Rattus norvegicus: one gene and its partners. The protein of the gene in region 6 purifies or fractionates together with the protein of the main gene of each other region. This does not show direct contact. Links are inferred from orthologs where the notes say so. Each region holds a gene or a part of one and is shown on either strand. Other genes may lie near its edges. The genes, in order: Tcp11l2, Irs4, Dnajb6, Dnaja1, Dnajb11, Tuba1a and Hax1.

Region 1 (4,218 bases), about 110 Mb from region 6:
CTTTGTGAAAGTACCCCATCCCTCCCTGCAGGGAGTTCCCTCATTCCTCAGTCTCCATCCAGGGTTGGAGGGGTCTCCTTTGAGCAAATTTGGCTTTTGCAGTCAGCTGATAGCTAGGTTCATAGCAAAGCCAATTTCCTCATAGCCCTGACTGGTGCTCTCAGGCCCAGGCCTGGCATTCATGTGCCTTGGTCTTTCTAGATTGTGCCAGGCATGACTTCTTCCCTGGGATGCTATGTAATGTCCCAGAGAAAGCACTTGACTTTAGAGTGCAGGGACTGGCGCCATGGTGCAGTGAGTCTCCTTGTCCCTCCAAGTATGCATCAGAACCCTATGGTCCTCGGTGCTCAGCAAGTTCGTGAGTACAGACCAAACAAGTCTTCGTCTTCATGCTTCGATAGTTCATATGAAAATGGGGAGCTAGTCTTGGCGACCCGCAAAATCTCATCAGCCTTTGCTTCCCGAGACAGGCTCACAAACGTACCAAGAGTTTGAGTTTGAACGTCCTTAATGTTTTTTAGACTTCCATTCTCTAGCTATGTCCTGTGTTTGTGTGTTCACATCTGTGCATGCCACCAGCACTTGGGGGAGGTCAGAGGACAGTTTGTGGAACTAGTTTTCTCCTGTCATAGCAGGGTTGAATTCAGGTCATTGGCTTGGCACCTAGTGCCCTTACCCACCGAGCCATGTCACCAGCTGAACTTACTTCCTTTCAAACAAGGCAGTAAGAACAGTTACTACGGGGTTGGGGATTTAGCTCAGTGGTAGAGCGCTTGCCTAGGAAGCGCAAGGCCCTGGGTTCGGTCCCCAGCTCCAAAAAAAAGAACGGAAAAAAAAAAAAAAAGAATAGTTACTACAGTTGATGCTGTGATGAGGTTAATCCTCTTCAGTCTTCACAAAGCTGTGGAAGTTCAGTCTGGGAGCCCAGTTTCCCCCATGGAGTCAGGTGGTTAAGTGACTTCTCCAGAACAGAATAGAGTCTGACTGAGGAGCCCACTAGAGCTTCGTCACAGCAACCTAGGAGAGCCTGTTTGTGTACAGTGTACATTTCGGAAGGGTCTGCTATCACCTAGAGCTGCTCCACATTTCCCCTGAATATGGCTTCAACACGCCTTTTGTGGAAGGCAGTCTGGGTGATTTTGCAAAAGTCTTGCTCAGGGTTCTAGAAGGGTGAGGTAATTTGTTGGGGACAATTCCCACCTAGATTGTCACAGCTTTGGGCATTATTATCCATGCTGGAAAAAGCACGTTGGAAGCAGGTGTAATAGGTATCCCAGAATGATGTTGATTCAGGGTCTCTCTGTCTGTGCAGGTTCTCTCTGTGTGTCTCTCCTCTCTCTCTCTCTCTCTCTCTCTCTCTCTCTCTCCTCTCTCTCTCTCCTCTCTTCTCTCTCTCTCTCTCTCTTTCTCTCTCTATCCATCCATCCATCCATCCATCCATCCATCCATCCATCCATCCATCCATCCCCAAGGTGATAAAGGATGCCTTTCAACGGTGAGAAGCAATATGTGAACGAGGACCAACAGAGTGATTCAGAGTCTTCTCGCTTCTCTGAAAGTACGGCTTCCCTCAGTGACTACGGGTGTTCCAGACAAAGCTTCACCAGCGATTCCTCCAGCAAATCCAGCTCTCCTGCCTGTAAGCAACGGGAGCAAGGTGGGGTTGGTTGGGTGCTGGCTCTGTGTGCAATGGCTTTGAAAACTCAGCAGTGCTGTGAGCAAATCACACACTTCCCCATCCTTTCTAGATGCATCAGAATAGTGTGTCAGAGGCACTGTGGTAGTCTTGGTGTGTTCTTAGGGATAAGTTTGTAACCTGCTCATTGTATTTTGAGCCTTGTCTCTAACCTGTTTGGTTTGAGCATGGATCTAAAACCCCCTCCCCTAGCCCTATCTTTCTTGTCTCCTAAGTGGTAGAAACACCCCTTCTTGAGATTATCTTGTGCATTGGTCCTTCTTGTTTCACATGGAAGGAAATTTTGCCTTGCCGGAAGGGTGGGCAGGAAGTGTAATAATCTGAAGAGGGCTTGTCTGCTGATTTCAGTGTTGTGCAAATCCTACTCAGATGAACCAGCAGGGAGAATTACTCCACTGTGGGCTGTGAGAAAGCTAGAAGAGTGGCCGGCACTTACTTACTTACTAACTTATTTATTTATTTATTTATTTATTTATTTATTTATTTATTTAGTGTCTGTGGACACAGATGTTTCAAGTAGGTAGTTTTTGTGTGGTTTTTTTGTTTTTGTTTTTTTTTTTCCTCCTTTCCACAAAATTTCACTCTGCAGCCCAGGCTGGTTTTAAACCTGTGGCAGTTTCCTCCTCAGCCCCCGGAGAGCTGCAGTTGGAGGGGTGAACAATATGCCTGGTTGTGCCTTTTGTTTGTTTGTTTGTTTGTTTTTTAAGTTTTGAATCAGCATTTTTGTCTTAAAAGTCCATAACATCTTAAACTGGCAAAGCTAAGGTGGGAAAAGCACCTGATGTTAGTAAGATCAGATCCCCACTTCAGCGGTTCTGTTGATTTAGATGTTTTTGTTTCCATGTTTAAGATTCGGGAGACCTGTGGTATAGAGGAAAGAGGGGATTGCCTGCAGTGTCACCCAAACATGCCAGCTGCTGGCACTTTGCCAAATCCGCATGCTTCTCATTGGATGCTTGCCCTTAGCACTGTACCCAAAACATGCTAGACTGTTTCCTAAACACTGGCCTTATGACCACTACTGCATCATAAAGTAAATAGACCGACACTTACCTACTGACTTGTCATTGGATAGCCAGTTTCCATCTTGTTTTGCCTGTTTATAGATGGGGTCATGGTACCTAGGCATGCTGAAGAAGGCCTTGCCAACCCCCAGCATCATCTGCCTTTCTCATCTTACTCCCCCTTGGCACCTTCTCCCCTAAAACAAGCGAGGCATTGCCTGTTGTGCCATTCTTTGAGGTCATGATTTCTAATTAACCGAAGCTGAGATTTTTCTAACAGTGGTTTTGTAAGCTTGATTACTTAGAACAATTTCTTACAATGATATCTAGAAATAACTCAAATTCTCTACAAGTGTCCTACTGAGTACGTAATGCAGCAGCCTCTCAAATATATTTTGTTTGCTTTAATCATGTACTGAGTTTCTTGTATGTTCTTGCTTAAATCACCCAGTAGTGGTGGCACACACCTTCACCATCAGCACTTGGGCGGCAGAAGCAGGTGGATCTCTGAGTTCAAGGCTAGTGAGTTCCAGGATACCCGGGGATATGCAGAGGATCCCAGTCTTAGAAAAAAAACTAATAATAAAATAAAACGGTCTTAATCACCTCAGAGTGAACCTATAAGGGCTCGCATATGTGTCAGTGAAGTCAAGTAACACATGGCGGAAATCGGAAAGGGATTTCAGCTTTTGCTACTCTGCCTATAGAGGAAGAATCTGGCCCTATGTATCTATCAATCTACTGTTTGTACTGTTTTACACAGATAGGTGCATATCGATAAGCACTGAGAAGTTACAACCAGCCCGTGTTAAGAGTTTGTCTTAGGAACATTTGAAAATTCAATATCAAATGTGGCGACTGAAGCTTCAGAAGAAGTGCTGACATATTTGAAATCGTTACCAAGCCCACTCTTTTAAAAGTGTGCATCCTTTATACAACCCTGAGATTGACGGGTGTATGGGCCTGACAACACTGGGAGGCTTTGGGTGACCGCAATAGCTGACATCATTTTTCTTTCAGCAACAAGCCCTCCCCGGGGCATAATGTTCGATGACGTGATGGCTGCAGCAAAGAACTTATCAGACATGACTCTGGCTCACGAAATAGCTGTAAACGAGAACTTCCAGCTGAGGCCAAACGCTCTCCCAGAGAACAGGTAACCTAGAGGCCTGTGGCGTGTATGTTGTGCATTCTGTCTGTCTTTCTTCCCTGAGTGTGTGTGTGTGTGCGCGTGCGTATCTGTGCATCATGTTTCCTGGAAGTTCATGTACAGTATCCATAGAGCATACATATTATTTAGCTCTCCTGCAAGGTCTTCTTCTTGTTTATTAAAAAGTTTATCCAGAGTCTTTAGAACTCAGTTTATACGTCACTTTCTGAGAAGAGTTGTCTTGATGTCCCTGAACTTCCAAGACTGCAATTACCTCCTCACTGTAGTCTCCACCAACTCCTTATTGTCAAAAAAATACTTTTTAAAATGTTTATATATGTGGGTATTTTGCATAGATATACATATAC
Region 2 (4,231 bases), on a different chromosome or scaffold from region 6:
CCAGAATTCTGGCAGTCCTTGAGCAGAGGGAGCTAGCACAAGGTGCTCTCTCTTAACAAAGTCAATGTTGATATAGTCATTGGAGCTGTCAGCTTCTCTCTGCTCCTGTGTGGGGTTTAGTGGTCTGGGCTTTATTTTATTTCCTTTTGCAATAAAAGAAAGTCGGTTAGGTTCCTTAGCCTGGTTCATTGGGGGCACATCATCTGAAGGCCTTGCAGACGACCCCTTATCTTCAGGTTTTGAGAATGACCCCTCAGTTGAAGGCTTTGAAGCTACATCTTTGGTGCCCTGGCTAAAGGAGGCGTGTTTGTCTAGACTGCTCCCCAGGAATTTTCCAGGTAACATGGGAACATACTCGCTATGGTTACTCTGTCCCAAAGGCGAACTCTGGAAAGGACTTGGCAGAGAGAAGTAAGAGCTCCAGCTTTTGGAGGAAGAGCCTCCCTGGGGATTGGGGGGATTTTTAGGAATCGCACCTGCTCCAGGAGCCATAAACATGTAGTCACTGTCACTGTCATTGTCCTTTGAGTCATCCTCTTTATGAGTATCCGGCGCTTTCCGAGCACTTGGAGCAGGTGGTGGTGGGCTCACTCTGGGAAACATCATCATGTACCCTCTGGAGTCTTCAAAGGGCGACTTAGAGTGACGCTTGGTTGGAGCAGAGGAATTTTGAGGAGCCATTGGCATGTAATCGCTGGAACATGCAAGAGGAGCAGCCACCCCTGGCCTCATTGGCACATATGGGTCATCCTCATCTTCATAGAGAGCTCTGGCTCTGAGAGACCCCCGGGTTGTACCTTGTGAGGTCTCCATATTTCTCACCTCTTTGGCTTCTTTGCGTTCTTTTGTGCCTCTGTCTGCGCAAAAATAAAGTCGGAATCTCCCCCCAGACTTCCCTTTGCCACCAGTTGCTCCAGCTGCTGGCGGCGGCGGTGGGGGTGGAGGCAGCGTTTGCTGCTGCTGCTGCTGCTGCTTGCTTTGAGTGAATTTACCAAAGTAGGATCTTTTCTTCACAGATTTTCCACGGTCACCATCGTCAGAATTTTTCCCACTTCCTGAGCCTTTGCTACCTCCTGAGTTCTTGCCACCACCTGAGCCATGACCATCTCCGGGTCCCTGGCCACCACCTGAACCATGGCCACCTCCACCTGAGCCATGGCCACCTGCTGTGCCCTGGCCATTTCCTGAACGCTGGTTTCCTCCAGCACCCTGGCCTCCTGAGCCCTGGCCACCTCCAGATCCCTGTCTCCCACCTGAGCTCTGGCTACTGGAGCCTTGGCCACTTGAGCCCTGTCCACCTCCGGAGCCCCGGCCATTTCCTGAGCCCCAGTTGTTCATAGGCATGCAGGCACCTCCGTTTCCTTCCTCACCTTCCTTGTCTTTTTCTTCAGAGTTGCCAGAGCTGGAACCCGAGGCTTGACAAGCTCGGTGGTTGCGAGCATCTTCAGGCTGTCGGATACGTCCTGGGCTAGGTGCTGAGCGTCGGGGAAAGCTGGGAGGTACTGACACGGCTCTCCTGGACCTGCGGGCTCTGGGCAGGTGCCCCCTTCCTCGCTTGAAGGGAGGCGGAGGCTCTCTGGGTGCGATGAAGCGTCTGGTGAATAGCATGTCTTCCCTGTGGCAGATAGCCCTGAGGTGGCAAAACTGCTCAAAGCGGGATCTTCTGAACCAGCCGCCGGGCTCCAGCGGGAGCGAGCCCAGGTGCCTCCTAGTGGACAGCAGGGTTAACAGGTGGGCGCCAACACTGATGCTGTAGCTGCGGCAGCGGGCTCTGTATTCGTCTGCGCACAAGGCTCTCATCTTCTCCAGAAACAACTCATGCATGTTTTGGGCCACCACGGAGTCATCCACCTGCATCCACAGCTCCCCTGGACCGATGACAGTGGACCTGCCGACTTCCAAGAAGAAGTACTGCTCTGAGTGCCCACAGCGACGAATGCTCAGCAGCTGGACGACCACGCTGGCCACTTCGGTATTGAGCCTTACAAACACTACCTCTTCGTCGGTAAGACACAGCCGGAACACGCCGCTCAGCTCTTTTCTGTGCCCCAGCCCCCTGGGTTTCACTACTACCTGCCACACATCTTTGTAGAAGGGTGGCTCCGCCGCCGCTGCCGCCGCCAGGGCTGCCGGCTCCCCGTCCGGCTGCGCGCCTAGCGTGCCGCAGCGGCGGCGCTTGCTCTCGAGGATGAGGCGGCTGAGGAGCAAGTACCAGCTTTCTTGTTCCGACTCATTCTCGGCCACCATCGCGAAGTACTCGTCCTGGGTAAAGAGGGCAATGAGGTGTCGGTACCTGGCATCGGCGCGCTGGCTCACGGAGAAGCATTGGTACAGGATGATCACGCGCCGCGGTGGGATGAGCGCGGGGACCGCAGCACCGGAGGCGGCCGCGGCTGCGGCAGCCGCCGCGGCACGGACACTGAGCCGGAACTTCCTGGCATTTTGGTAGTATTCGAGCCGAGCCGGAGCGTCTTCGGTCTCGAGTTTGAGCACGAAGTAACGCCTCTGCCCATGCTTCTGCTTCCGCAGGTAGCCGCGTTTGCAGACTTCATCCCCGACGGGGAGGTCCTCCTCGTCGGACTCGGAGTCTGACCGGGAGCCAGTGGCTGGGGAGAGCCACATGGCTCCCGGACAGGACGACCCGGTCCCAATGAGTGCGGTCGGGGTTCCCGAGGAAAGAAGCGGGGTGGTCGCCACTGCTGCTAGAGCTGCGGAGGCTGCTGCTGCTGCGGCTCTCAGTCTCCTTAGCGCTTAGTCGCCAGCGAAGGAGCAACTCGCCATGGTGATGCACGGTGGTTTTAAGGTGAGCGGAGGGGAGGGGGGGCTCGAGAAGGGAGGGCTTCGGGGGAGAAGAGGCAGTTCTCCCCCTGTCTGCCCGCCCCAGACCCCTCCCGCCCAGGCCCGCGTCCCCGCCCACTTCACCGGGCTCACAGCAGTGGGCAAAACAACACGTGACCGTCGCCTCACGCGGCTGCTCGCACCAGAGGCAGCCCGCACCCCAGCACTGGAGGGGCGCAAGCGGCCACCAGTAGAGGTGTGCGTGGGATGGGAACCGGGAGCCAGGGAAGCAGGGCCATCTTCAAATCGGCAGACACCCTTCAGGTGAATCTAAGGGCCTTTGGTTCAAGGCAGAACCGACGGGAGGAGGCGGAGCTCTCTAACCACACCAAGCCCAGTCCGGAGTACCAGAAGGATGGGATGGAGGGTAGACGTGAGAGGTGGAGGACAGAACGGCCAGCCACTTGGGCAAGATGGGATGCCGCAGCAGCCCACACTCAGTTGGCGGGAGGGGGAATAGAGGTGTTGGGAGGGGACGGGGCTGGATGAGCACCGGATGGTTTGTTTGTTTATTTAGGAAGTGGAGGGGGGGAGCCAGGTGAAACTGCTGCAAGGTTCTGATTGGTTAGGATATGAGCCAATGGGAGGGTCAAGCAAGGGGGTGGCCCTGAATATATTAGTTTAGTGGAAGGGGGGAGTTGGGGGATGAGGGGGCGTGGTTGGGGTCCCAGAGTTGGGCTTCTCAATCTGCTTGTCTCTAGATCAGGCTGTAAACAACCCTCAGAAAATAGCTGTCAATGGTGGTGATAAATTCCTGCAAATCCCAGAGCCTGGTGACCCCTCTGCCAGGAGCCCTTTCTCTTTTTCCCTACAGCTCACAGTTTCCCTTCGATAACCGTTTGCTGTAGTTCCTCCCGATTCTCACTTTGAGCTGTGCTTCTCAAGAGAAAATGTCAGTTATCCCTGGAAACACGGTAAAGACCTGGGTCCTCAGACCTGCGGCACACCAGGCTGCACACCAGGCTGCACATGCCTCCTCGCCCTCTCCACCCCTGACAAAAGCCAACGACTCTAAAGACTCAGGAATTACGGCGATGCCTTCAAAATTAACGCTATCTGTACACAGAGTGAATTTCTAGTCCACGAAAACACAGATTTGCTAGATGTGGTGTTTCTATTTGATTGATGACGACTATAAAAGTACAAATTTGGGGGCCTGCGAAGTATACAGCCATGTTGGAAAAAGCCGGACTTGATTTTTTCTGAAAAACAATATTGAGCTGTCGTGATATTTTTTCTTGAGGGCAGTGTTTTGAACTGTACCTTTAAGGAACTAACAAATATTAACTTTCTTTTTTCCTTGAAGGAGATTGGGAAACTTTACAAAAAGAAAAGCTCCTATCTAGAACAAAGGACTGAATGAATGCATGCCCTTGAATATATTTTACATCCT
Region 3 (3,500 bases), on a different chromosome or scaffold from region 6:
CATACTCCATACACATCAGAATACTGGGACCCCTGTTTTAATCATGGGGCTGGCTTTGAGCCACGCAGCTAGGCCATACATACAGCAGCTGTGGGAGGGGAGCTGGACACAGGTATCCATCCTCTCTGTCCCTTCTCGGCAGGCCAGGCACCTACCCCATGCCCGCTCAGGTCAGAATGCAGCAACATAGGCCTGACTTCTGTGCTTGCTGACCTGGATCTGGGGGCAAAACACTTTGGGGGTGCTCCACACCAGCTCCCTTCTGCACACCTGCTGAGGTCATAGGGGCATCACAGTTGCCAGGAACCCGCTGCCTGTCCTGCTCTTCATCTTCCCAGTTGCTTTTAGACACAAGTTTGGCCGTTGGGGCAGGCCTGGGTGGCTTCTGTGGGCGGGTGCTGACAGAAGGGGCTGGAGTCTGGGCTGGAGCTGGGGTGGGAGCTGGGGTCGGGGGTCGGGCCTGAGAGGGGACCCGGGCTGGTGCTGGGGCCGGGCCAGGGGCCAGAGCTGGTGTGGGTTGGCCTCTCCGCCGGCATTCTTCTGCAAGGGCGTTCTCGTCGGCCACACCTGAAAGCACAGCACACCAGGAGAGCTGTGAGCCTCAGCCCTCCCTTGGGAGCAAAAGGCTTCACACACCTTCCTTCTTTCCCCAAAGATGGCTCCATCTCTAGAGCCACCATACATTTATAAAGAAACTACCCATTCCCTCTGATGCACTACTAGGCCTGAACATTCTCTTCCCACAGTGGGAAAGAAACAATACCAGAGAAATGGACTCTCTCTGCTTATTACCATCATCCAGACTCTCAGCAGATCAATCAAGGCACAGGTCTGGCAGACACCTTAGCATGGTTCTTGCTAACCCAACAATTGAGCCCTGCAAAGAGGCCCAGCATGTTCATAGGCCAGCAATCAAGGACACATCACCTCTGCACAAGAGTAGAATGGTTTAGCAGGCCTGCGGAAGCCTCAGGTGCTTACTCTGTCCTCCCAGAAATTTCCCAGCCAGCCAGCTCATCACACCTCTCAACCCCGTCATCATTCAGAAGGCTGTTATCTTTGGAAAAACAGAAACAAGGTTTTCCACACTAGGTGGATACTGAAAATAGAACAAGAAAGCAACACTTAAAGGGTTAACTCCCATTCTCTGTAACTGAGTAACAGCACTGCTATCATTTATACCAAGCATAAAACTAGAGGCAGTGACTCTATTCTGACACTCAGCTCACCCAGGATAAACCTTTGCCCTGCAACCACCCATTGCAGCCTATGTGTCAACTCAGCCAGAGACTTTCAAGAGCTGCCTTTCTTTGGTAGTAAACCAAAAAAAGGTACAACCACCCCACATGCACCCCCTCCCTTTCATCCCTGGGAGGCACCTGCTCAAGGCAATGTGGTCAGCAATTTAAAGCAGCCCTCATCTGGACATCTCCCACAGACCCAGGTTCTGCAGGAGCCAGACCTGTGGAGAAGCCTGGTAGGTAACAACAGAACCTGCCAGAATCTTAACAGGGTAATGCGGCTGGGAGATGACGGCGCTCACCTTTAGTCTCAGCACTCAAGAGGCAGAGGCAGGCCAACCTGCTCTACAAAGTGAGTTCCAAGATAGCGAGGGCTATACAGTGAAACCCTGTCTCAAAACAAAACAACAAAAGATGAAATAAAGATAGGAAGGCAGGAAGGCAGGAAGGAAGGAAGGAAGGAAAGAAAGAAGGAAGGAAGGAAGGAAAGAAAGAAGGAAGGAAGGACAACTGGGGTAATAGATCACACCTGTGGCTACAGGGTCACCCGTCACAAGTCCAGAGCACTGAGCTTGCAAGCTTCACCAAGGCATCTGGCTATTTACTGGCATTCAATGAATCAGAGGCCTTACACACACCATGTTGCACCCATTTAACCAACCATGCACAAAGATAAGCCAGCAGCTACAGCCTGTCCAGAGGTGCCCCTGTTGTTCTCACCCATCCTACAGGCCTGGGGATCCGGAGGAGCCACACACATTTGCAGAGGGCAAAACTGTTATGAGCAAGCTTTTCAAGTTCAGCAAACATGTCTGAATGAGAACAAGACCTGAGATCTAGGGTGCCATGGAAAGGAAATTACCATGCACCCCATGTTCAGGCACCAGACTGAGACACTGTATTCAAAGACTGCTGAGGAAAGACACTGTTTGGGTAAGAACAGCCCATGTGGGTTCCTGAAACAACCCAACCTCTGCTGCAAACTGAACACATTTCCTGACAACTCAGGTGGTAATGGTAGACATATGGTGACAAGGTTCAGAATCTGAATGATATAAATGATGGCACATGGGAAGATAATATGATGTTCACTTGATGCCTTGGGGGTATTGTCAACTATCCCTGCCGTGTCCCACAGCTGGCCAGTCACTCCAAGACTATGGAGAGACTGAGCACATGAAGGAAGCCCAGACTCCAAGCCAGACTACTCTCTGCTGAACAAAGAACCATACCTGAAAACCCCCCAGGCATGATCAGACACGCTGTGATTGCAGCACTGATAATGCACTGGGCATGACAGTGCACTGGAAGCCACTCTGGACATAGCAAGAATTTATCCCATAGCTCCCTGCACCCAAATCCCCTATGAGAGAGAGGTGAACTCCCAAAGTGCAGACAATTCTGATACCTCAGGGGAGACCACCACTTCTGCTCACTTACTGGCCCAAGAGGAACCTGTATAGTGGCCTCTGGATACAGGAATATAGGAGCAGTCATCAGCAGGAACCTGCAGGTTTCTGCCTACACCCAGAACTGAACTGAACCAGTCACATAGCTCCTGGTACCCAAACCCTGTGGGGGAGAGAGCTGGGCTCTCAGAAGGATGGACAATTCTGAGAACTCAGAGACTACTTTCTTCTCACATTCCTGACCCACCTTATTGCCATCAGTGCCCTCTGGGCACAGGGACCCAGCAGCAGTCAAGGGCAGGACCCCTTGGGTTTATGCCTGCACCAAAAGCTGAAAGACAGTCGCAAGGAGGGCCTAGACACCTAAGAGCAGAGGTAAGACCAACTATTCTGCACCAACCAACCTGCCTGGAGGCTTCAGGTCACACAAACAGGAGAAGCTCTCTGTTTCCAGATCTGGCTGAAAGAAAACAGGTCTACAAGAGTGCTGATGCACAGGCCTACAAAAGGGTCAAGCCACTGTCAGAGACAGCAAGATAAGCTAACATCAGAGGCAACCTGATGGCGAGAGGCAAGCGCAGGAACCTAAGCAACAGAAACCAAGACTACTTGGTATCATCAGAACCCAGTTCGCCCACCAAAGCAAATACTGGATATTCAAACACACTGAAAGAGCAAGATTTGGATTTAAAATCACATCTTATGATGATGATAGAGAGCTTTAAGAAGGAAATAAATAACTCCCCTAAAGACATAAGGACAACATAGGTAAACAAGTAGAAGCCCTTAAAGAGGAAACACAAAAATCCCTTAAAGAATTACAGGAAAACACAACAAAACAGGTGAAGGA
Region 4 (3,500 bases), on a different chromosome or scaffold from region 6:
ATGACTAAACCTTTTTGGCTTAGATCAGTTTGAGGGGTTTTGTTAACTTGTTGCTGCTTTGGAAAATGTACTTGGTCATTTTCCAGAAGCTTTATTTTTCCTTTCTTGTATTCAGTATAAAGTTGAGAAAGCTCTAACTTTCAATTTGAGAACCTACATGCTTACATGTTCTCTTTATGATAATAAAAATACAAAGTGAAGCTAGAAGCACAATGTAGTGAGACTTTTAATAACCTCATTTAAAGAGTAAATATTTTTTTACGTATGATATTCAGAAAGGATTGGAACTTTATTTAGTAGTTAGGCAATGTTGATAGCGGTGGATAAAGTCCTAGTGGAAGGATCACTAGCTAGGAACTTATTAACCGTTGGTGGGTGATTTCATTTTTGTAACCAGGTTGTCCTTATGTGATCTCAACCAACCTACTTCCTGTTGTAGCTAATTATATGTGGCAATCTTTTGTCACTAGCCAGATAGGGGTCTTCAAGTTGAGTTAATTTAGAGGGGGGGGAAATTCTGTCCAGCTATAGTAGCCACCACACTTAAAATTGTATCTAGTAATTATGATTAGTGATTACAGTATTATACAAATAAAATGTGTCCATCATTACAGAAAGTTCTGTTGGACAATATTATAACAAAAGGCCTGGGTAATTTGAGACACCAATGTTAGCCTAGCAGTAAAAACTATTGAAACAGAAATAGAAATTGCTATTTCAGTAGTGTCTCTATTGGCTTCTCTGGCCAATCTTGATTAGAAAGAATTTACTGTGCTAAAGAATGTTTGGATTAAGTAACTGGCCATGTTGCTTAATAATGCCTAACAAGTAAAACTTTCAAAGGGATACATGCTTTGCATTGTGAAATGTGCCTGAACATTGACTTTTAAGGGTAGTATTTTAATTGCTGGATTTCTAAGAGGGTCTCTTGTGTTGATGAACTGCTCAGTTTTCTCATCTATGATTAGGTAAGCTTGAGAATCAAGTGATTGGAGGAATGTTGTGAGTATAGTTCAAAAAGATATGTAGCATGAGGCTGGTCTTCCATTATCTTTTGCCATTTTTATAGTGCCTTCAACAATGAAACGTTACAGATGGGTATTTAATGAGCAATGTTTTTATTCTAGGTAAAAATGTCGTGCATCAGCTCTCAGTGACCTTAGAAGACTTATATAATGGTGCAACAAGGAAACTGGCTCTGCAAAAAAATGTGATTTGTGACAAATGTGAAGGTAAGGGTTCTTAAGTGTGCTGAGTTGTTGTTAGTGGGGTTGTTGATGGTTTTTGAGAATAGGTTTTTGTAGGTTTGTTCCCCCCCCCCCCCCCAGCTGGGGACCGAACCCAGGGCCTTGCGCTTCCTAGGGCAAGCACTCTACCACTGAGCTAAATCCCCAACCCCAGTTTTTGTAGATTTAAGCTGGCTTTATCTTTTCTTCCTCAAATTTCTGAGCCACAGGGATTACCCCATACCTACCTAACTTCTAAAACTGAAATGCAACACTAAAAGCAGCTGAATCTTCTACCAAGAGAAACACAATGACTTTGTTGTGACATTTTCATGCCTGTATATAATTTTCATCATTGCTCTCTTCTCCAACTCCTCTTCCTTACATTCCTCTGTGTGCCTGTGGTTTGATGGCCCAGTGAGTCCTATTAGAGTTGTTTACAGGAATGGGGAAGGACTGTTCCCCAAAGGACAGGCACCACAATCAGTTAGCTACATGTAGAAGAAAATGTCTCTTCAGGGATGAGGCCTGGTCATCTGCTCCTTCCTTTATGACAAGATGTTGATGGGCCTAATCCTGTGTAGATCCTAACACTTTTTTTAAACAACACTTTGTACATTTTATATGTATGTTGTGTTTGTGTGGGATGTCAGAAAACTTGCAGTAACTAGTTTTTCTTCAACCATGCATGCATTAAAAATCAAACTGGGGTTGGTTAGACTTGGTGGCAAGTATTTTTCAAACTCTGATCTGTCTCAGTGGCACTAAATTAGCATCTTTTTGAAATTAATACTTAAGTTTTGTTTTTCATTTGTTATTGTTGGTTGGTTGGTCATCCAGGCTTCTGTCTCTAGTTCCTGAGTGCCTCCTAGTGTTAAATGTACAGTGTATACTACAGCATTTTGTCTACCCTTTTTTTTTTTTAAAGAAAAAAAAAGGATGGTCCTGATTCCAGGCATGTTTTAGATCTCTTATGAGATCGGCAAAACCTTGTCTCAAAAAAATTGTGCTGTGGGAACACATAATGTAAGATTGTGGTACAGGCTGTCTTGGAGTTACTGCTCATCTCACTACTCCCTTAAAGTGTTCTGAAAGTGAAATTCACTGTTAAGACCGCCCACTTCTTGAAGCTGACTAAAAAGGCTTGACACTCCATAACACCTGTCCCTTGTTTTGCTTTCCTGTGTGTTTATCTATGTACTGCTGCATGCAGTACCTGTGGAAGCCAGAAGTTCAGATCCCTCTGGAACTGGAGTTAAAGAGGATGTTTGTGAGCCACTATGTGGGTGCTGAGGAACAACCCCAGGCCCTCTGGAAAAGCAGCCAATCTTAATCCTTTAAATCAGTGAGGCATTTCTTTACAACTTGCCCTTCCCTTCCTATATCATCATCATCATCATCATCATCATCCACCTCCCCTCCCCCATCTGTGCCAAAAATCCTAAGAGTGGTGCTCTGACATCCTTTATCTAAAGACACACCTTCCCTTCACCCCACTCTCCAACACATGCAACTGCTTTTGCTGACCCATGTGTCTTGTTTAAACTAATTCAAGAGGAAGACCTCTCACCCTCCTCTTGACAATTGCTGAGATTCATAGCTTGCCTTTGTTTGCTTTTTCTCTCAAACTTCCAAAGAAGAATATTAATTTATCTGAATTGTACATTTTAGGATATCAGTCCATAAGGCCTTAAATACTGCGGCATTAGATTCTTGGTTACTGCTAAGTTAATGTATAAGTTTCTTTTAAAACTGTCTAGGCCGAGGTGGTAAGAAAGGAGCAGTAGAGTGCTGTCCCAACTGCCGGGGGACTGGCATGCAGATCAGGATTCATCAGATTGGACCAGGAATGGTTCAGCAAATTCAGTCAGTGTGCATGGAGTGCCAGGGTCATGGAGAACGCATCAGTCCTAAAGACAGATGTAAAAGCTGCAATGGAAGAAAGATAGTTCGAGAGAAGAAAATTTTAGAAGTTCATATTGATAAAGGTGAGTACTGATCCACTCTAGTCTGAATCATGTGTTTTATTCTGACTGTTTGATTCATAATGTGTATTTTGGTTTTTTGGTGTTTTTTTTGTTTTGTTTTGTTTTTTTTTTCTTTTTTAACCTTCATTACCTTTTGTACCACTTCCTTTTAAATTCTTTGCAAATTTATCATTTCGTGGTAGAGGTTTTTGTGATGTAATGTTTAATTAGGATTGCTTGCATGAGTGGGGATTATTTACTGGAACATGTACAATTTAACAGTGGCTATAGGATTTAAGAAAAGGGC
Region 5 (3,500 bases), on a different chromosome or scaffold from region 6:
AAGGGTGTTAACTTCCCTGGATCTGGAGTTTCAATTGCATGCAAGTCACCATGCGTGCTGAAAGCTGGATTCAGCTCCCCTGTAAGAGAAATAGGAACCTTGGGGTGGGGGTGGGGTGGGGGTGGGGGTGGGGGGTTTTATGTAGGTTTTGAATCAGCTTGAAAAGTAGTGGCTCTCCTTTAATTGGATTCTTTTAACATCCTTAGTTTCGTGTAACCCACTCCTCTCCAGAATTGGAGTGTTGTGTGAGCCTCACTCTGTGTTGTTAGCCGTTTTTGTCATTAGAAGGCTGATTCCTAGCATGAGATGTCAAGACTTTAGAGATGAGGTCGACTTCCTGGGGGTGATAAATGTTAAAAATGCTGTAGTTGAGCTGGGACCCAGCACGTGGGAGGCTGAGGCAGGCAGATCTCTAGTTTGAGGCCAGCCTAGTCTACAGAGTGAATTCCAGGACAGGCGGGACAACAGAAAAACCCTGTATTGGAAAAAACAAAAACTTGTGTATAGGTGAGCTGAATATGACTTTATATGTCTGTAAATTCAGCATTTGAGAGGTAGAGGCGGGAAGATCAGGAGTTCAAAACAAACTTCAGATACATAGTGAGTTCAAGGCCAGTCTGAGCTACATGAGGACCTGTCTAAGAAAACCAACCCAGAAACCTAACAGAGTGATTAAAATAACTAAATTACTGTTGGAAAGTGTGACCAGGAGTTTATGAAATAACCCCAACCTTCTGAGTGCTGGAATTATAGGCATGCGACATCAGGAATCCAGGACTTCATGGATTTAAAGCAGGCACTGTCACTGAGCCACGTGCCAGCCATAAAATGTATTTTTTAATATTCTGCCTTATGTCTTGGCTCCCGGTTCATTTCCCCATACATTTTTAAATTATCCGCCATGCTATGTCAGCCTCTATTATATGAGTTCCCTAGCCCCATTGTTGAGATAATATTTTTAGGTTCTATTCTAGTTTTAGGTTTGAATTCTAGTGGTTGAACTTCTGGCAAAAAGAGATGTGAGCATTCTTATATGTTCACCTTACTCAGAGGGCATTTACTGGCCTCTTCAATGAGCTGGGTACGGCCCTTGCCTGGAATGCTTTTTATAGTCTCACTCTAGCTTTCTCCCAACACTTCTTGCAGAGAAAGAACCCTTTTATGGTTGATTCAGCATAGCTCCTGGCAATATTCCCTTATTTTATGCCCTAATTTATATCATATGAATATTCTCAACTACAGTGATACAGAGGCTCCTGCGTGTGGACTTTAGAAGATGTCTGTCATAAAGACTTGATCCTAACAGATTAGCATAGTTACTGGCAATGAATGCATAAAATGTATTTTTCTCCCAGCATATACCATAATCATTGCATCCAGATGTGTGCTATTTTCCCTTCAGGTTTATTATTTGGAGTTTGCTTAATCTTTATGAACTCCTTAGGCCAGTCCATCTTTAATGTCCAAAAGTGCTTCTATTTAGGACATGTATGTGATGTAATCTTTGTGAATAAGGATAACTTTCTTTTTTAATCATTTGACCCTTAGAAACAGGTAAAAGTCACTGGGGTGGGGCTGGAGAGAAGGCTCAGCAGGTAAGGGCTCTTGCTGCTCTTAGTGGAGGACCCCAGCACCCACGCGGTGACTCACAGCCACCTGTAACTACACATCCAGGGAGCCAGCTTTAACTGACACCGAGGGACCTGCACTCACACCCACACATGAGCTCATAATTAAAAATAAAATAAATTCTCTTTTAAAAAAGTATTTGGAGCAAGAATAGGGAGTAAAGAGGGAGCCAATTGGACTGTTTGGTTGTTAGCTGGAAATAGCATGGAGCTATAAAGCAAAGGAAAAGTTTCTCTGCGGAAGGTAATTCTAAAAGAAGAGTGCCGCCCGTCCTGTACATATTTTTGAATTACCTCCAAATCATAGTCCCGTTATGATTATTTCTGTACCTAAGACTATAAATCCTGGCGTGTCCCTTTTTTGTTCATTGTTTTATATATGTGCACATGTCACATATTCCTTTGTCTTTATCCTTCCGTGCTTTTATAGTTGGACTTAACTGCAAAGGGAGATAATGTAATGCACCCTGGGAGATGATAATTCAGCTGTTAAGAGCACGTGTGTTCTTACAGAGGACTCCATTCAGTTCCGGCACCCACATCAGGCAGCTCACAACTTCCAAGGTTCTTTTCTGCTTCTACAGGCATCTGCATGTGGTACACAGGTGCGCGCGCGCGCGCACACACACACACACACACACACACACACACACACGCAATTTCTCTTAATGTAATAGGGAGCTAGAGAGATAGCTAGGACAAACACATGAATTAAAAAAAAAAAAGATTCACGTCTTCCTTGCCAAGGGAAGAGTTGTTGATAGTTAATGGTTGCCGGGTTGAGGGGGGAGTCATTTTCTTTAGGGATGCAGGCCCTGGTAAGTTGCCAGGCTCCAGGAAAAACCTCCCCACCCACACTCATGTAAGTCTCCCTAATTCAGCTCAGTGGGTCACAAACAAAATATATGAAGGGGGGGCTTATTGGGAAGAAAGAAGGGCTCAGTATGAGTGGGGCCATGAGAAAGGGTGAAGGAGTCATGTGAAAATGACCAAAGAATGTTACATATGTACAGAGAGTAAAAAGGTAAATTAAAGAATATAACAGAACTCTCTAATGAAGTCTTACCTGTCCATCCTCTCAGGCGGGATTTCTATAAGATCTTGGGAGTGCCTCGAAGCGCCTCCATAAAGGATATTAAGAAGGCCTACAGGAAACTGGCCCTGCAGCTTCACCCTGACCGGAACCCTGACGACCCCCAAGCCCAGGAGAAATTCCAGGATCTGGGTGCTGCTTATGAGGTGAGTCGTGAAAACAAAAATGGGAACGCTGACCGCGGATGCGGGAAAGACCAGTCCCGCGGATCATTCCTGTTCAAAAGTACATAAGTGAACTGGGCGTTCCCGGACTGTGCAGTTGTTATCCACAGACTCCATTTTTATTTGTGTGTGTGTGTGTGTGTGTTTGTGTGTGTGTGTGTGTGTGTGTGTGTGTGTGTGTGTGTGTGTGTGCGTGTGTGTGTGTGCGTGTGTGTGTCAGGTGTGCATGGGTGCCCACAGATGCTAAAGGAGGCATCAGCTCTCCTGCTGGGGTTAGAGACGATTGGGAGCTGCCTAGTGCGGGTGCTAGGAACCAAACCCAGGTCCTGTGCAAAAGAAGCAAGTGATCTTAATGGCCCAATCCCCTTGCCTCCGCTCTGACAGTGTGTAAACCAAAGTGGGTTGGTGGCCCCTAAAATGACACATAAAATCTTATTTCTTAGGAGGTACTGACTTCATATTTTGTACTGTTCCCATGAATATTATCATTATTTCATAGAAACCTGATACTCAAAAATACTTTCCAAGAGTCTGCATTTACTTCTTCCAGTGCTTTACAATGCACATGTGCTTTTTTGTTTTTGTTTTTGTTTTGTTTTTGAGACTAGGAAGGTC
Region 6 (4,158 bases):
ATTGAGCAACGACCACAGTAGCAGTGGGGCGAGCCTCTACAGTTCCCACAGTCAGAAAGAAGCCCAGCTGCGGAAAGGGGCTATTTACGGAATTCAGGGAACTACACAAAACTGCACAGGGCTGGCACTGCACAGTTGTCTGGGGATGAAAACAACATCGCAAAAATGGTTTCCTTTTTATATTATAATACTCTCCTCTTTTTAATTTGGCATCTCAGCTATTTTTTACTTGGTATCACCCCCTCCCCCTCAAAAAAAAGGAGCGCTGGAGAAATACAAGCCCACACAAAGAGCTCGTTTTTAAACTCACTCCTTTCTCCTTACAGTTTCTGAATTCCGTATTAGAAGGGATGGCTCATTTCTAGGGACAAAATAACACAGGCTCTGGGGTGAGGTAGGGTCGGGTAAGGGGGCGAGCGGGGAGGGGTGATGGGAGAGCACTACCGCTAAAGAAAGCAAGCTCTCTAGTAAAGCGTTAAGTACTACTTTGTATATTGTTTCTCTTTTTTCCTTTCTCTCTCTCTCTCTCTTTGTTTGTTTTTGGTTTTTGAGACAGGATATCACACTATATATCCAGGCCGGGTACAAAATAACCGCAGTCCTCCGCTTCCCAATGCTGGGATTTACAGGCATAAACCACTAAGGGCGGTTATGATGACCTTGAGCTGCAAGTCTTCCTGCCTCTGCCTCCCAGGTGCTGTTGAGGGTCATAGGCGTGGTCTATTCATACTGAGCTTCTGAATTTTGCTCAAATATTAATAATAATAGTAATAATAATAATAACCACAATAATACAACTGTAAAACTAAACATTTACCCACGCCTTTTTGACCATCATTCCCATAGCTCTTGCTACTTTATTTAAAGCGAACAGAGATGTTGAATCCTGACGGAACGTATTTAAATTTAGTGTAGTATAAATGAAAAGCTGGAATTTACCATAAAGAATCTCAACACAAATTCTGTGATTAAGTGTTGGGGAAAACCTTAAATTATCCTAACTACAGTTTAAGGTTTAAGCTCCGTATAATCACCCAACCCCCGTTTTCTTTCTTCCCTCTCTACCCCTCCCCAGCTCCACCCCATAATGGATGCTCGGCTAGTTGCTTTTGCGAGGCCTTTGTCTGAAGGATGCAAAATCTACGGATGCTAGCGAGGGGGGGAAGGGGGGAGAGATTACCTCATACCATGTCGCTTGCACCAATCACCACTCTCCTGTCGCGGCTTCTCTGGGCAGACGGAGGGGTCTGGACCAACAGGAAAAGGCCTTGGCCCATCCCCATGGTGACCGAGCTGTATATAAGGAGGCGCATCCGCCCAAGTGCCGCAGGTTCTCTTACATCGACCGCTTAAGAGTCGCGCTGTAAGAAGCAACACCTCCTCCTCGCCTCCGCCATCCACCCGGCAGCCGCGAAGCAGCAACCATGGTGAGCAAACCTTCCCGGGCTCTCAGGAGCGGGTGGGTGTCAGCCGGCTCAGTCTGCAAGGAGACGCCTAAGCCTTTTGTCATCTCTGCGGGGAAGGGTGGTCTGGATGCTTTAAGTTTAGCTTAGTCCGTGAGTCCCGCCGCCGCAGTGCGGGACACGGAAACGCCCAGACCGGGAAGAACAAAGGCTGCGCCGGCGAGCGATTGCTGGCAGAGCCCGGGACCACAGGGGACCGGCGGGGGAGAGGGAGGGTGCCGCAGGGTCTGCTGCAGCAGGAGGGCAGGGCGGCGGCCGAGCCCGCACTCCAGAAACGCCGCCCTAACTCGCTGGGAAAATAGTTTGCCTGGGATCCATGGCAGCCGCTGTCAGGGAGGCGCAGGGGCGGGGTTGTTTGTCTCTTGCTTCCGTGGCGTTTTGGGAGGGGTTCGCTCTCACTAAGCCTCACTCCCGAGCTGGGTTTTTTATTATTATTATTATTAATTTTTATTTTTAAAAAGAATCGTTGGGGAATTGTAGTCTTACGAGATGCTCCACGGGGCCATCTCGCTGGGTGGGGGGAGGGGAGCTGGATGGTTGGGAATGACAAAGCCCACTTTGTGAAGCCCGAGTAGCTGACGGTCAGAACCCAGGGAAACGCCCTTCCCCGCCCCCAACCCCCGCAGACAATGAAAGTTGTCCCTCCAAGGCAGAAGTGTCTCTCTCTATAGAATAGTGGTTTATTATGTTGTATGTAGAGATTCATCGGATAAAAATACTATTTTCTACTTTTAAATATTAGTTATCTTTTCACTTGTTTTTTTTTTAATTGTTGGCACTAATTGTGTGCACTGTGTTTCTAACTTAGCCTGCTTTAAGAATGTTTCCGTCCCATCCAATAGAAAACCTTCAAAAACCATAATGATTCTGCTGCAAAGAAAAAAAAAATGATACTCTGCACCCGACTGCCTTTTGTTCTAATATATGACACTCATTCATTAATTCAGGCAGATGGCCCCAGGCAGGGTTGGGAGGCACGCAGAAAGCTGCACAAAGAGATCACGTAGACAGCTTCTGGAAATAGAGCTTTCTCTGTTAAATAATGTAACAGACCACAGGCTAGAGCCAGGCACAGAGAACGCGGCAATGCAGAAGTCAGACTCAATAGCAGGTAACCTAGCCTAGTACTGACCGGGCCCACAGAAGGGTGTGGCTGCTGGCCTCAGCCGCACTGCAGATGTCCACATTGAAATACCAGGTCCTATAGGATGAAACCTTAAACTTTGTGAGACTCGGTCTAGCTTGCAGCTTAGCCAGAGTACTAATGGGGTCCACAGAAGGGTGTGGCTGCTGGCCTCAGCCGCACTGCAGATGTCCACGTTGAAATACCAGGTCCTGTAGGATGAAACCTTCATCCTTACTTAACAAGAAAAGAAGCAATTAATGTAATTTCGGGTAATTATTTCATTTTACAGAATCTATGTTTTGAATATTTTTCAAATATGAAGACTTCTATTCAAACACTGCTATGGGAACAATGGGTTGGCACCATGTCTTAAGCAGTACTAAGGTGACATTGAGGCCACACCCACTTTCAGTATTGGTAGTGGGTACTCCTTCCTCATTGTGTCTGTCATATTAGGGATATGACACTAAATAAATTTAAACAATGTTTGTATTTTTAGAAACACTTTAGAAATCTATTAAAATCTAAAATAGAAGTACAGCTTAATATTACAACAACTTAATTTTATGATATTTTTTCCCCCTTTCCACAGCGTGAGTGTATCTCCATCCACGTCGGCCAGGCTGGTGTCCAGATCGGCAATGCCTGCTGGGAGCTCTACTGCCTGGAACATGGCATCCAGCCTGATGGCCAGATGCCAAGCGACAAGACCATTGGGGGAGGAGATGACTCCTTCAACACCTTCTTCAGTGAGACAGGAGCTGGCAAGCACGTGCCCCGGGCGGTGTTCGTAGACCTGGAACCCACAGTTATTGGTAAGTGGACTGGGGGCTTCCCTGGGGCAGTCCTTCTTGGTCACATACTCAGAATGTCTCTCCAGACCCGGAAGGGTGAGTGAGCTTGTGGGGTCCTTGGTGGTGATGGCTGATGTCTTCTCCTTTTTCAGATGAAGTTCGCACTGGCACCTACCGCCAGCTCTTCCACCCAGAGCAGCTCATCACAGGCAAGGAAGATGCTGCCAATAACTATGCCCGTGGCCACTACACCATTGGCAAGGAGATCATTGACCTTGTCTTGGACAGAATTCGCAAGCTGGTAAATGCCCTATGTGGATGGGTTTAAAATGCAGTGGGAGGGTGTCTTGGTATCTGTCAAAATGTGTCAGGTCTTTCCTATCAGGTAGAGATGGCTCACAGTCTAAAGGAATTGAAATAGTGTATGCCCTGGTAATAAGACATTATATGTCCTTTTCTCCCACAGGCTGACCAGTGCACGGGTCTCCAGGGCTTCTTGGTTTTCCACAGCTTTGGTGGGGGAACTGGCTCTGGGTTCACCTCCCTGCTGATGGAGCGGCTCTCTGTCGACTACGGAAAGAAGTCCAAGCTGGAGTTCTCCATTTACCCAGCCCCCCAGGTTTCCACTGCTGTGGTTGAGCCCTACAATTCCATCCTCACCACCCACACCACCCTGGAGCACTCTGATTGTGCCTTCATGGTAGACAATGAGGCCATCTATGACATCTGTCGTAGAAACCTCGACATTGAGCGCCCAACCTACACTAACTTAAAC
Region 7 (4,004 bases), on a different chromosome or scaffold from region 6:
AGCGCTCTACCACTGAGCTAAATCCCCAACCCCATCTGGACAGTTTTTTAAAAAACATCTCTCTCTTCGGTCCCCAGCTCCGAAAAAAAGAAAAGAGAAAAAAACAAAAACAAAACAAAACAAACAAACAAAAAAACCCAAAACTTCTCTCTCAACTCACCCCATCTGGCTTAGTGATCTTGGTCACAGAGATGCTTTTGAAATAGGATTTAGGCTGGGGTTGAAGAAGTGGACCCAGACCTTCCTGGGAAACCTGGGAGTCAAGATCTGGAAGGGCAGAAAGATGACAAGCCAGGATAGAGTGGAGGGAAGAAAATTAGACAAGTGTTTCAGGAAGAAACTTCTGAGAGAACTTCAGGACAATGGCATGGTAAATGTGCTTCCCTCTAGACTCACCCTTGTCCTCTCTGGCTCTAGAATGGGGACTCACAGGCCATGTATCATCCAACTGTAGAAGAAGTCACACACAATCAGTGAAAAGACACCTTTTAATCTTAAACTTACAGGTCAGAGAACCCATATTCCTCACTAGCTCCAAAACCCCAGAAATACTTCTATCTGGGTAGTTTGTGTTCACACACCTTCTTCCTCAGGTTTATATGGACTTCAGTCAAAAAGAATTCCTGAAATTTTTTCCTGCGCTTTTAAGATTCTTTCTTAACCAAGAATTGAAACTAGTAATTAAAAAAAAAAAAAAAGCACAATATTTCCATTTTCCCCTTTATAGTCTATTCTAGGTTCCAATACTGCAAAAAGAAAACAGAAGCAATGGGGTTGGGAAGAAGGCTCACAGATTAAGAACACTTCTGCTCTTTTAGGACATCAAGCAGCTGAGAGTTCCAGGGGATTCAACACCTCATCATTGCAAGCACCCGCACCCACACAATAATACAAACTCACACAGGCATGCGTGCACACGTACACGTGCACACGTACACGTACACACACGTACACACACACACACACACACACACACACACACACTCTCTCTCTCACTCTAAATTTAAAAGACAACAAATAACAGCAACAGAACCCTAACTAACAAACTCAGAGGCAGGTGGACCCCTGAGTGAGGTCAGCATGGTCTACATAGCAAGTTCTACATCAGCCAATACTAGAGACCCTGCCTCAAAATACACAAACAAACAAATAAATAAATAAATAAAATATGAGGAGAGGGAGAAGACATTCTTGCAGAAGACCACAGTTCCCAGCAAGAGCATGGTGGCTCATAATCATACATAACTTGAGTTCCAGGGACACAATATCCTTTTATGACCTCTGTGGGCACAAGGTACATATGGTACAGAGACATTCAAGCAGGCAAAATACTCGTGTGTGTGTGTGTGTGTGTGTGTGTGTGTGTGTGTGTGTGTGTTTAGGCTAGGTGTGGTGGCACACATTTAATCCAGAGGCAAAGGCAGGCAGATCTCTAAATCTACACAGTGAAGTGTTTCAAAACAAAAATCCCAATAAGGAATAAAATCCAGATAAATGCACTAATCAGATGGGCTAAATTTTCAACTCCACTCCAAGAGATTCCAATATATAAGGGTTTACAGTTCAGGTGCAGAGTACTCACCCTATGAAAAGGTCCCTGGGACCCCCAATCTGGAGCTGGTTTGGAGGATTCAGGTTTTGCATGACTCTCCAAGACCCCCTCAAAGATCCTGGGTTGGTGACTATCTGGGTACTTAAGCATTGAGTCACGAAGTGTCTGCCCCTCTCGCAATCTCACACCAGGTGTTTCTGACTCAGGACCTGGAAGTTCTGTAGAAAGTTGGTAGGTGATTCTGGGATAGGAAAGGCCTTAAAACATTTTAAATCTTTTTAAAATCAGTTTCTGCACACTATCCATCACCAACTACTCTGCAAGTTCTGTTATCCATCACTAACCCACTAGAAACCCAGCTCTCCCTCAGGGAAATTAACACACCAGGAGAGTGGGAAGGCAAGGTCCAGGCCCCCATCTCGCTGAAGATGCTATTAAAATCTCGAACTAGATCATCAAAGCCAAAGTTGCCATGGAATCGCATCCCTCCTCTGGGGCTGAAGCTGAAACCGAATTCCTCTGTAGGGTGAAAACCATCAAACGCATAGCTCTCTCGACCCCACGCACCACTGTCTTCCTCCTCTTCGTCGTCTTCATCATCGTCATCATCTCGAGTCATCCCTCCAAAAAAAGGATCTCTGTGGCTGAGAATGGAGGCAGATAAACCACGAAGACTTTAACACTGTCTAAACCCAAGGGCAGCAAAACGGTCCAAAGAGGAGATCTGGTTTTAAAACAACGCTGATGGATCTACTAGGTTTTTTAATTGTTTCTAAGCAGAGCTTCTCCGCACCTCCCAACAGCTCCCAAACGACACCCCATGGTGTTCCTTCAGGGTCATCCTGCCCACTACTAATCACCCAATGACTTGCTCACGGTCCTCTTTCCCAGACCCCCATTGTTTTCTCCGCTCAGGTCCCTGTTGCATCACCCCAGTCTGGAGAAAGGTGCCGTTTCTGTCCTCTTAACCAACGCTTTGATTACTGTGGCGGGTGAGTACTCAAGAATGCGATCTTTGACCTCTCAGCAAGAGTTAAAGGGGGCGGGAAAGGAAACTTTCCAAAAATATGAAGGGGTCAAGTGTCCACCAAAACACCCTCCCTTAAGTCCAGCCCAGGACTATTCTCACCTCCGAGGTCCAGGGAAGCCGAAAAAGCCTCGGAAAAGATCAAAGACGCTCATTCCCGTAGGGGTACTAGAAACTTTGAAACTCTGCAGCCCATGGGCAACACGAGACCACCAGTTTACGCTACCCTGTCGGATATAGCCAAGGCTTAGCGTTCGCTGCCGGAAAGCAAGCCTACGATGCGGCACTGTCGTAAAAGCTGTAACTCGGAGGAGGAAGAGGCGGGGCTGACGGCGCTCCTCAGACACGAAGCTTCTATACGCTACCTTTCAGTTTTGAGTGGGGGTGGACGTGCGAAATTCCCACTGTCCAAGGATCACATCCCTTCTAGGTGATTCTTCTTCCTGCCGATCTGCCAGACCCCAAGACGTGTTTCCGTTTCTCTCTGGAGGGTCTCAGGTAGCCGCCAGAGGGAGTGGCCTGTTCACTCAGAGGCCTGCTTCCCCCAGGATCAGAAAACACATCCCACCTCGTGTTTTGTTTCTAGACTGACGGTGACGCCTCCCACCTTGTGTTTTGTTTCTAGAATGATGTCGGTGACGTCTAATACTAGGTTAGGCAAAGTGTTTTACCAAGATACTTACACCGCGACTTCCCTACTGCTGAATAAAGATGATAGGAATCTCTTCAGCTAGTACGGAGTTTTTAAACTTTTTCCGCCCCCCCACCCCCCCCCCGACCCAGGGTTCCTGTGTGTAGGTAGCTCTGGCTGTCCTAGAACTCAATTGCAGACCAAGGGGGCTATAAACTCATGAGACCCGCCTGCCTATGCCTCCCAAGTGCTGGGATTAAAGGAGGTTGCCACCAAACACTACTATTTTTAAAAAACTAAACAGATGGCAACCAGCAACGTAAGATTTGTAGACTAGGCAGGAATGAGAAGCTACTCAAGCATGTCTTGGAAAGACTGTGCCGTTATGAAATTTGACGGTGTTTTTGTCTAACCCACTCGGGAGGTAGAGGCAGGCGGATCTCTGCTCCACACACCTGAGTTTCAGGCAAGCCAGAGCTACAGTGAGGCTCTGACTCAAAATATAGAGACCCCCACCCGCTTCATACACCAACGCAGAGATACTTGCAGTTTTAGAAGGCTGAAACAGGATCCCAGTTCTTGGCAATATGGCTTTTATAAAGAAAAATGAAACTTTTTTTTCCATGTCCAAAACCTTTTACTGCACCATGTCCCCACCCCAGGTCTTGCTCTACCATCATCCACTCCTTTCCCAAAACTTAGGCATTTCAAAGTCACATAAAAAAGGCAAGGTAAGGTATAGTGCTGAGAACCTTTAACCTTGGCACTCAAGAGGTAGAGGCAGGTAGATCTCT

The links.
Region 1: the proteins of Tuba1a (region 6) and Tcp11l2 purify together in Homo sapiens (affinity purification with mass spectrometry; 3 studies listed by BioGRID and IntAct, counting the BioPlex papers as one, with this or other methods). This does not show direct contact. The link is inferred for Rattus norvegicus from reciprocal best matches to the Homo sapiens genes TUBA1A and TCP11L2.
Region 2: the proteins of Tuba1a (region 6) and Irs4 purify together in Homo sapiens (affinity purification with mass spectrometry; 3 studies listed by BioGRID and IntAct, with this or other methods). This does not show direct contact. The link is inferred for Rattus norvegicus from reciprocal best matches to the Homo sapiens genes TUBA1A and IRS4.
Region 3: the proteins of Tuba1a (region 6) and Dnajb6 purify together in Homo sapiens (pull-down; 3 studies listed by BioGRID and IntAct, with this or other methods). This does not show direct contact. The link is inferred for Rattus norvegicus from reciprocal best matches to the Homo sapiens genes TUBA1A and DNAJB6.
Region 4: the proteins of Tuba1a (region 6) and Dnaja1 purify together in Homo sapiens (affinity purification with mass spectrometry; 3 studies listed by BioGRID and IntAct, with this or other methods). This does not show direct contact. The link is inferred for Rattus norvegicus from reciprocal best matches to the Homo sapiens genes TUBA1A and DNAJA1.
Region 5: the proteins of Tuba1a (region 6) and Dnajb11 purify together in Homo sapiens (affinity purification with mass spectrometry; 3 studies listed by BioGRID and IntAct, counting the BioPlex papers as one, with this or other methods). This does not show direct contact. The link is inferred for Rattus norvegicus from reciprocal best matches to the Homo sapiens genes TUBA1A and DNAJB11.
Region 7: the proteins of Tuba1a (region 6) and Hax1 purify together in Homo sapiens (affinity purification with mass spectrometry; 3 studies listed by BioGRID and IntAct, with this or other methods). This does not show direct contact. The link is inferred for Rattus norvegicus from reciprocal best matches to the Homo sapiens genes TUBA1A and HAX1.

What each region holds. Positions count from the first base shown.
Region 1 is NC_086025.1:21,061,882-21,066,099, reverse strand, and holds the start of Tcp11l2 (T-complex protein 11-like protein 2), read left to right. Parts: upstream 1-1,418; 5' UTR 1,419-1,482; coding exon 1,483-1,639; intron 1,640-3,720; coding exon 3,721-3,856; intron 3,857-4,218. UniProt on the Homo sapiens protein: Promotes the migration of muscle-derived satellite cells (MDSCs) during differentiation throught interaction with FMNL2 and therefore may participate in microfilament assembly.
Region 2 is NC_086039.1:110,145,674-110,149,904, forward strand, and holds the start of Irs4 (insulin receptor substrate 4), read right to left. Parts: upstream 2,801-4,231; 5' UTR 2,623-2,800; coding exon 1-2,622. UniProt on the Homo sapiens protein: Acts as an interface between multiple growth factor receptors possessing tyrosine kinase activity, such as insulin receptor, IGF1R and FGFR1, and a complex network of intracellular signaling molecules containing SH2 domains.
Region 3 is NC_086022.1:6,173,005-6,176,504, forward strand, and holds part of Dnajb6 (dnaJ homolog subfamily B member 6), read right to left. Parts: intron 568-3,500; coding exon 271-567; coding exon of another isoform or gene 214-270; intron 1-213. UniProt on the Homo sapiens protein: Has a stimulatory effect on the ATPase activity of HSP70 in a dose-dependent and time-dependent manner and hence acts as a co-chaperone of HSP70. Plays an indispensable role in the organization of KRT8/KRT18 filaments.
Region 4 is NC_086023.1:60,641,404-60,644,903, forward strand, and holds part of Dnaja1 (dnaJ homolog subfamily A member 1), read left to right. Parts: intron 1-1,127; coding exon 1,128-1,232; intron 1,233-2,986; coding exon 2,987-3,214; intron 3,215-3,500.
Region 5 is NC_086029.1:91,666,301-91,669,800, reverse strand, and holds part of Dnajb11 (dnaJ homolog subfamily B member 11 precursor), read left to right. Parts: intron 1-2,710; coding exon 2,711-2,867; intron 2,868-3,500. UniProt on the Homo sapiens protein: As a co-chaperone for HSPA5 it is required for proper folding, trafficking or degradation of proteins.
Region 6 is NC_086025.1:131,993,020-131,997,177, reverse strand, and holds the start of Tuba1a (tubulin alpha-1A chain), read left to right. Parts: upstream 1-1,358; 5' UTR 1,359-1,424; coding exon 1,425-1,427; intron 1,428-3,181; coding exon 3,182-3,404; intron 3,405-3,535; coding exon 3,536-3,684; intron 3,685-3,849; coding exon 3,850-4,158. UniProt on the Homo sapiens protein: Tubulin is the major constituent of microtubules, a cylinder consisting of laterally associated linear protofilaments composed of alpha- and beta-tubulin heterodimers.
Region 7 is NC_086020.1:177,732,543-177,736,546, forward strand, and holds the start of Hax1 (HCLS1-associated protein X-1), read right to left. Parts: upstream 2,801-4,004; 5' UTR 2,735-2,800; coding exon 2,682-2,734; intron 2,634-2,681; exon of another isoform or gene 2,481-2,633; coding exon of another isoform or gene 2,413-2,480; intron 2,197-2,412; coding exon 1,937-2,196; intron 1,771-1,936; coding exon 1,583-1,770; intron 449-1,582; coding exon 397-448; intron 268-396; coding exon 161-267; intron 1-160. UniProt on the Homo sapiens protein: Recruits the Arp2/3 complex to the cell cortex and regulates reorganization of the cortical actin cytoskeleton via its interaction with KCNC3 and the Arp2/3 complex. Slows down the rate of inactivation of KCNC3 channels. Promotes GNA13-mediated cell migration.